2 linked regions of the Rattus norvegicus genome follow. The protein of the gene in region 2 interacts with the protein of the main gene of each other region in a biochemical or structural test. Links are inferred from orthologs where the notes say so. Each region holds a gene or a part of one and is shown on either strand. Other genes may lie near its edges.

Region 1 (3,821 bases), on a different chromosome or scaffold from region 2:
GAAGTGTTACCTCGGCTTGGAAGCAGAGCGGTACAAACCAACATGGAGAGGAAGAAGACAAGATGGGAGGAGGCCCTATGGTGACTGGATATGCGGGTACCTAGGACACCTACTTCCGTCCGATCCTAGTGGAACAGGAAGGAGAGAGTGAACAGGAAGTAGAGCTGGGCTATAAAGCATCAAATCTACCCCCCGTGATAAACGTCACCTTTCAAGGCTTCACATTCTTAAGGTTGTAGCAACAACACTAGCTGGAGATCGCAAACACACGAGCCTATAGGGATGTGTGACATTCAAACAGTAGCAGCTGACCGATATATCCATGGCTGTTCCTCCCTGGATATGTTTGACGGAGGAAAATACATGCTTCATTATTGCCTTAGTTAGGGCTACCATTGCTGTGATGACACACCATGGCCAAAAGCAACTTGGGGAGGAAATGATTTATTTCACTCACGGTTCCATATGACAGTTCATCATCAAAAGCAGTGAAGGTAGGAAGTCAAACAGGGCAGGAACCTGGAGGCAGGAACTGATGCACAGGCCATGCTCAGCCTGCTTTCTTATAGAGCGCAGGACCACTAGCCCAGGGATAGCACCACCCACAATGGGCTGAGACCTCCCTTATTAATCATTAATTAAGAAAATACCCTACAGGCTTGAGGACAGCCTGATCGTATGGACACATTTCCTTAATTGAGGTTGCTTCCTCTTAGATGACTTTAGCTTGTCTTAAGTTGACATGAAACTATCTAGCACGAATATGATGACTGACACGTGGCAGAAATCAGTGCTGTCTTCAGTCAAAGGAAATAACTACTATTCATAGATACGTCCAGCATTGATTACTCCCCAACTAAAATAAGGCAACATATTCCTTTTGACATGATAAGGTGTGTGTGTGTGTGTGTGTGTGTGTGTGTGTGTGTGTGTGTGCGTGCATTCTGATTCATGCTTACACATTATTAGTAGGAAAAAGAGTCTTTCTTTTACTTACCTAGCATCCTCCCCAGTACCAAAGATTTGACTGCACTGAATTCTGTTCCTGAGGACAAGTAGGTTTGTCTCCTTGTATTCTCATCAATCTATAAAATTATTAGCCATCCAAATAACCATTGTTTTGTGGCAAGAAAAATGAGAGGAAGCAAAGAAAGAAAAAAAAAGGAAATTGTTATTAGGGTTTTATGATAATTTAAGAAAGTGAAATTTAAAGATAACTTAAGAAAGCGAAATTTAAAAACGTAATTCAAAATCGGATGCTTTTTAATCTATGCTTAGATACCTATTCATTTTACCATCGTTCCCTTTAGTGTTTGACCCATCTCCACTACAGAAGAAACCCAAATTTGGTAAGGCCAACAAAAAGACATGTGTTATTTTTTCACTTCAATAATTTTTCTTAGCTTGGGAGTTTTACTGGAGTCATGCAGCTAAGAAATTTTCTTCTATGCAGAGCTGAAACATTAATGGTTTTCTGCAAAAGCTGCTAAGATGAGTAATTCCACTTTGCAGTGAATCACATCCTTTCTTCAAACTTATTCTGATATTTTAGTCATTATTTTCTGTTGTAGGATGATTGCGGCATTTATACCTATCTAAAGTGAGTGGGTTTCCCATGAGGACTGATAGTCCCACCAGTGGGTCTTTGAGAAACTAGGCATCATTTCCTTTCTGAGCAAAATAAAACAGGCAAGGCAAGCGTGGCATTTTAAGCATCCGATATTAATAACACCTCAGAAAGGTTTGCCAAAACCACAAAGAGGGAGTTGGGGAACACCTGACCACATTTGACGAGTTTTATCTATGGTCTATCAAATACCACTGGAAGATGTCCTTACTACTGTGATTCATGATTAACGTTCTGCTCTAGGTGCCCCATGGCAGGGTGTCATGTGACCATTGGAGAATCTCTGTTACCTCCACAAAGACCATCCCTTCTTCTCTGCTGATCTTTAGATGGTGAAGCTGCCCATCGGCCATGCTCTTTAAGTCAAAGCTGATGACATCAGGTTCGTGATACTTATTTAGCCTGTATCTTATCTGCAAACTTCCTGAAGTAGAAAAGAAGTTACATTTTTAGTAAAAATTCCATTTTAAAGCCACTTATAAAACACTCTAGTTCTTTCCATTTTTTTAATATAGTCACTTCCAGAGAAAGATTCACCAGCACTCATTTGGGCGTGTCTCCAAAACCTCACCTCTGAAAGTCAGTTCCTTAATGAAATCACAATATTTTCTAAATCAAGAGTAGACATATTGGTCATGAACTGACTCCTGAAAAAATCTTTAATGTCAATCATATAGGTCAATTCTGACATTATTATGTACAGATCATAACACTAATCTCTACAAAAAAGAAATGCAACCAGAGGTGTTGGTACAATGCCATGTACTGTTCAATGCTGCTACAGCATTCTTTCTACATCACCTCACTTTTTAAAAATATCCTTCTCATATCCTGGAAAGACAACTGAGGGATGGAACTTTGAGCAAATGTAGTTTTACACAAAAACAGAGCTGTTTCCAGGGGACCATGAGTGTAGACTTTGGAAGGAAATTAAAGTGAAATAAATGAGTTTTAGCCAAATTTATTATTCAAATGAATAGTATCCAATTGCCTTCAGACATTTCAATTAATTTGTTTTGCAGAACTCCTCCTGAATTAACCACAATGTATAGATAAACTTTGAGCTTGAAGCTGACACGGAGGGCACACAAAATTACTCCTATGGTGGCAGTCAGTGCCCTTGGGCCATTTGATTTAAGCGAGCCAATGTAGTTGGATGTTTTTCTGCCAGTTTATTTTCCTCACCTGGAGAATTGATTTCTAAAATATCCATCTTTCATCCACACATGAGACACAGAAAAACAGTAGTAAGCGTTTTCCGGTGACAAGATTTCTGTACCAAACACATTTTGTAAGCCATATACCATTACCCTGCATGAATACAGCAACAGTTCTTATGACTACATTATTGTCTGTTAGGCCCAAGAGGTCATCTCCTGGACATTTTTATGCATAATACCGGTCCATTAACACTCCTTGAATGCATTTTATCTTTGATTAGAAGAAAATATGTGTCGCGCACAAGGAGACATTTTATTTTAAAGTAGAACACCAAAGCTGCATCAATATTCATACAAAATACTTAAGAGCTCCTGGCGAAAATAAAATATAAGTATCTAGAGACATGGCTCAGCAGTTAAGCGGGCACACGGCTCTCTGGCAGAGGAGTTCCACTCCAAGCTCCCAGGTCAGGCAGTTCACAACCTCTTGTAACTCCACACCAGTTGTGGCATCACGCGTGTGCATGCACACACAGAAATGGTTTAAAATAATACAAACATATGAAACAAACAATATAGGAGCAACCCGAATCTTACATTACTGATATAAAACTGCCAAAACTATAAAGCCATAAACCCATCTTACATCCTTAAAGGATCCTTTTGGATTCATCTATGCAATCATACTCAAAGTCAAGCCTAGACGTGTGTTTCCTCTCTAATTCTAGGTTAGAGGCAAACATCCCAGAGGGAGGAAATGCATTCTACCGTGCCAGTGTCCAGACTCAATCTTTTGTCTCGTCCGAAACACACTCACCATTTTTGGCAATGATAACCGAGAGATATTCTTTATAAAAGGAACTCATATAGAGCAGCAAGCTTGGGGCCCGTGTAGTTCGGAAGTTAAACTTGACGGTCTCTCTGCCCAGTTTCATGTCACCATGAAACGAAGCCGCGTGGAAGCTGGAGTTCTTACTTAAAGAATAGTTTTCTTGAAAATTGTAAATCACAGAAGACCCAGATCCAAAATAGGC
Region 2 (3,821 bases):
CTGGAACTGTCTACTGCAAAGAACCGTCTTACTAAGTCTCTCTGATGCCCCCTGTTTATTCATGACAGGGCTTGAGAGACTCTCCACATTGTTATTCTTTGTCTTTTAAGTGTGATTAGTTGAACTGCTGATAAACCAGGAAAATAAAAAATGCCCTTAGATTGACTTTGATGGAGTTACTCTCCTTCCCCAGGGGGTGGGGGAAGGGAAACACACCCTAGGACAGGCTGGTCTCTGACTAAAACTTTATCCTGATGCCTATCTGTGCTACCCCATTTCCACACACCTCTTCTTTTTCATGTTGAGTACTCCTTCCTCCCAGGAACCCTTGCGGATCTTGTACTAACAAGACGCCATTTTGCAAAAACCCTCTCCAACCAAGCCTCTTCTTACAAAATGTAGACCTGATACAAATTGTGGGACCCCAGTTCAGACTTTCTCAATGAGCACAAAGAGGGCCATGTGCCCAAGAACGCAACTCTCAACAAGCCCTTCTGGTACAATTTAGAAAGCACAGGGCTGCCTTATAGGACTGATAAGTAGTCCATTCTTAGCACCTTTGCTGGTGCCACACCGGAGGAAACCATCATGGGGAGGTGCATAGCGCCCCCACAGACCATTTATCCCATAAAGTAAGTTCCCAAAGACTTGCAAGGCCACAGAGCTCAAGTCTCTCCTCCCCAGGGGCCTGCAGTCCAGCCAGCCCGAACCCATACATACTTACATCTCCGTCCACGGGCCTCTGGTCGTCACAGTCCCTTGTGGGGCTAATGTCCTGGCGCATGACCCAGATGGGCTCTTTGGGTTCGTCGGGGGTGTAAGGCGAACGGATGGTCCTGGTTTTCACTTCTTCGATGGCCTCCTTGATGTCCTTGATGGCCAGCGAGATGGCATCCCTCTTTTCCTTGCTGTACCGCTGACCAACCTCGCTGCCTCCCGGGGTTCCCACAACTCGCTGCTGCTGCCCGGCAGGTGCTGGCAGCCCAGGGCTGTCGGGGTGTCCCCCTCCCGGGGTCGGGGCGCGCTCCAGGTCCTGCTCCGCCTCGGGCATGTCTTCGGCCGCCTTGTCGAGGCTCTGCGAGCTCATGCTCTGCTTGACCTCGGCCACGATCTGGTCGATGTCCTCTTCCTGCTCATAACTGTCCATGCGCGGGTAGGGCGCGAACTCCGCCTCCTTCTCGGGGCTGTCGGACTCGCCGTCGGAGCGCTCGTCGTAGTGGTGCAGCCGCGCGCCTAGGGCCTCCTGGCGGTAGGCGGCCGCCTCGTCGCGCTCCCGCTCATAGAGCCGCAGGCCGTCGCGCGCCTCCAGCTCAGGCGCGTCCCCGATCTCCTCGTACACGTGCTCCTGGAGGCCGCCGTAGTCGGCGTAGGGCTCGGCGTAGGGCTCGTCCTCGGCGCGGTGGAAGAGCCGGTGCGTGTAGACATAGCCCGAGTAGGCGGCGTTCATGGCTTCCTCGTGCTCCAGCGAGTGGAAGTGCAGGTGGTTGGGCAGCGCGCGCCGCTGCGCCGCCTCGGCGTGCTCGGCCTCCGCCTGCTCCGTGTACTCCTCGGCCTCGGGCCGGTACTGCACGGCGTAGGCGCTCTCATCGTCGGCGTCCTGCGCGCGCTCCGCCTCGTAGCCGTCTCGGGCCGCGGCGAGCACGTCGCCCTCAGCGGTGTCCGTGTGGTTGTGGAAGCCGCTCTCGGTGCTGGCCGAGCGAGCCAGGCACTCGCCGCGCTCCTCCTCCTCCTCCTGCGGTGGTGGCGGCGGCGGCGGCGCCGGATGCGCGCGGTGGTCCTCGGGTGCGTGACCTGCGGGCGGCGGGGGCGACGGCTGCGGCTGCTGCTCTTCCTCCACCTCGGGGTGCTCCAGGTCGGCCTCCACGGACTCGTTCACCTCCCCTCCTGGCGCCTCGTCGGCCACCTCCACCTCCGCGGAGCCCTCCAAGTGGTTCATGGTGGGCGTCGGGGGATGGCTGGCGAGAGGCTGCGCTGGCTCACTGTGTGCTCATTTTGGCTTCACGGGGCCTGGAAGAATCAAGGAGAGGAGCTGCTGAGTGGTTCAGAATGGAACTCTGAGCTGAGCATCCAGACAGACATAAAACCACTTGCTATTGATCCCTTCTGAATCTGGGTCAATTAAGGCATGATTGCAAATTTAAGCGTAATCTGACAGCCCTCTTCACACACGTATCGTAATTTGTAATTGCAAATTTACTTGCTTAATTGCTTATTGCCTTCACCCTCCCAAACCTTCAGATAGGAAGCTTTGCGGGCACTTTGTTCTTAGCATATTCTTCTGGTTGCATTTTCTGAGGTCTATGGATAGAATACTACTCAATTGAGTGGGCCCATTGACATATCTGCTCCAAGATAAATATCTCTAAACTAAGATCCTAGAGACTTTAGTAGCAATTCTTTAAATAAATTGTGTGTGTGTGTGTGTGTGTGTGTGTGTGTGTGTGTGTGTGTGATATTGCAATCTTTTTGACGCCATTGCCATGAGTGTAAGGTTCCAAGGAGGCTGGTAATCACCAATAGCCTCTTTGTTCTCTTATATCCAACAAGGGTTTAGCTTTCTAGACCTTCACAAAGACATGAGAGTTCTTTTCTTACATGTAGGGTGAACACAGGAGAAAAATGGAATCCCTAGTTAAAATAACCTTGGGACCAGCTGGGTGACAGTTAACGTTTCACCATGAATATCTGAGGGGAGGAAGTTATAAAGCGCAGGGTTCATTATAACTCATTTGACTCAGAAACACTTTCCCCTTAGAAACCAGAGTTCTGATAAATATACCAAGTAGGTGGCTTCCAGTACTTTCCCCATGTGCCCTTGATCTAAAACCTGGAATTCTGGGAATGCCATGCCATTTGAGGCTAGACTACATGGATAATTTTCAGAATGTATGGGGAGGGAGGTCTCCACCTATTTGTGGGGAACTTGCAGTTAGAGAGGAAGATGGATTCCAACTCTTAATCAATTCTCACCACAAAGTAGCTTTTAAAGGACAGGGAAGATGGCTCTAGTGTGTGCTAGCAATTGCGGTGAAAATAAGAGGACCTGAGTTCAGATGTCCAGCATGTAAAAAAAGCCAGCCATGGCTGTGGATGCCTGTAATTGCAGCGTTGGGAGAGAGGTGCAGGTGCATCCTGGGAGCTTGCCAGCTGGCTAGCCTAGCCAAAATGGAGAGCTTCCAATTCAGATAGAGACTGTCAAACACTATGGCAGAGCATAATCAAGGAAGATGCACATGCTCCTACTCTGGCCTCCAAATGTGTGTTTACTGGTACTGCATCCCCAGTACCCCCTCATACTGGTAAAGCGCGAGAGCGCACACACACACACACACACACACACACACACACACACACACACACACGGGTGTGCTTTAAGCACAACCTATACACAGCATATATAGAAACAGACACAGAGTATAATGAACAAAGAAACCAGGCAGGCTTCTTTGGGTTTCCAGAAGCCTGTGGTAAATGAGCTGTCATACTTAGCTCTGGCTGTCAACTTCACACAATCCTGTCACCAGGAAAGACAGAACCTCGGGTAAGGAATTGCCTAGCTCAGATTGGCCTGCTGCCTTGTCTGGGAGGCCTTTTCTTGATTGCCAACTGATGTCAGAGAGCCCAGACCACTGTGGGCATGCCATTGCTAAGCAGGTGAACCTGGGCTGTATAATAAAGGGGACTGAGCAAGACAGTGAACAGGACTTCTTTGTGGTTTCTGCTTCAGTCTCTTCCTGTGTGTACCTACCTGCATTGACTTCTCTCAGGGATGGACTAGACTGTAAGATGATGTCAACCCTTTCCTCCTCAGTTTGCTTTTG

The links.
Region 1: the proteins of Apba1 (region 2) and Cntnap4 form a complex in vitro, tested with the Homo sapiens proteins (2 studies listed by BioGRID and IntAct, with this or other methods). The link is inferred for Rattus norvegicus from reciprocal best matches to the Homo sapiens genes APBA1 and CNTNAP4.

What each region holds. Positions count from the first base shown.
Region 1 is NC_086037.1:57,732,862-57,736,682, reverse strand, and holds part of Cntnap4 (contactin-associated protein-like 4 precursor), read right to left. Parts: coding exon 3,605-3,821; intron 2,052-3,604; coding exon 1,918-2,051; intron 1,086-1,917; coding exon 998-1,085; intron 1-997. UniProt on the Homo sapiens protein: Presynaptic protein involved in both dopaminergic synaptic transmission and GABAergic system, thereby participating in the structural maturation of inhibitory interneuron synapses.
Region 2 is NC_086019.1:230,926,238-230,930,058, reverse strand, and holds part of Apba1 (amyloid-beta A4 precursor protein-binding family A member 1), read right to left. Parts: intron 2,008-3,821; 5' UTR 1,937-2,007; coding exon 725-1,936; intron 1-724. UniProt on the Homo sapiens protein: Putative function in synaptic vesicle exocytosis by binding to Munc18-1, an essential component of the synaptic vesicle exocytotic machinery. May modulate processing of the amyloid-beta precursor protein (APP) and hence formation of APP-beta.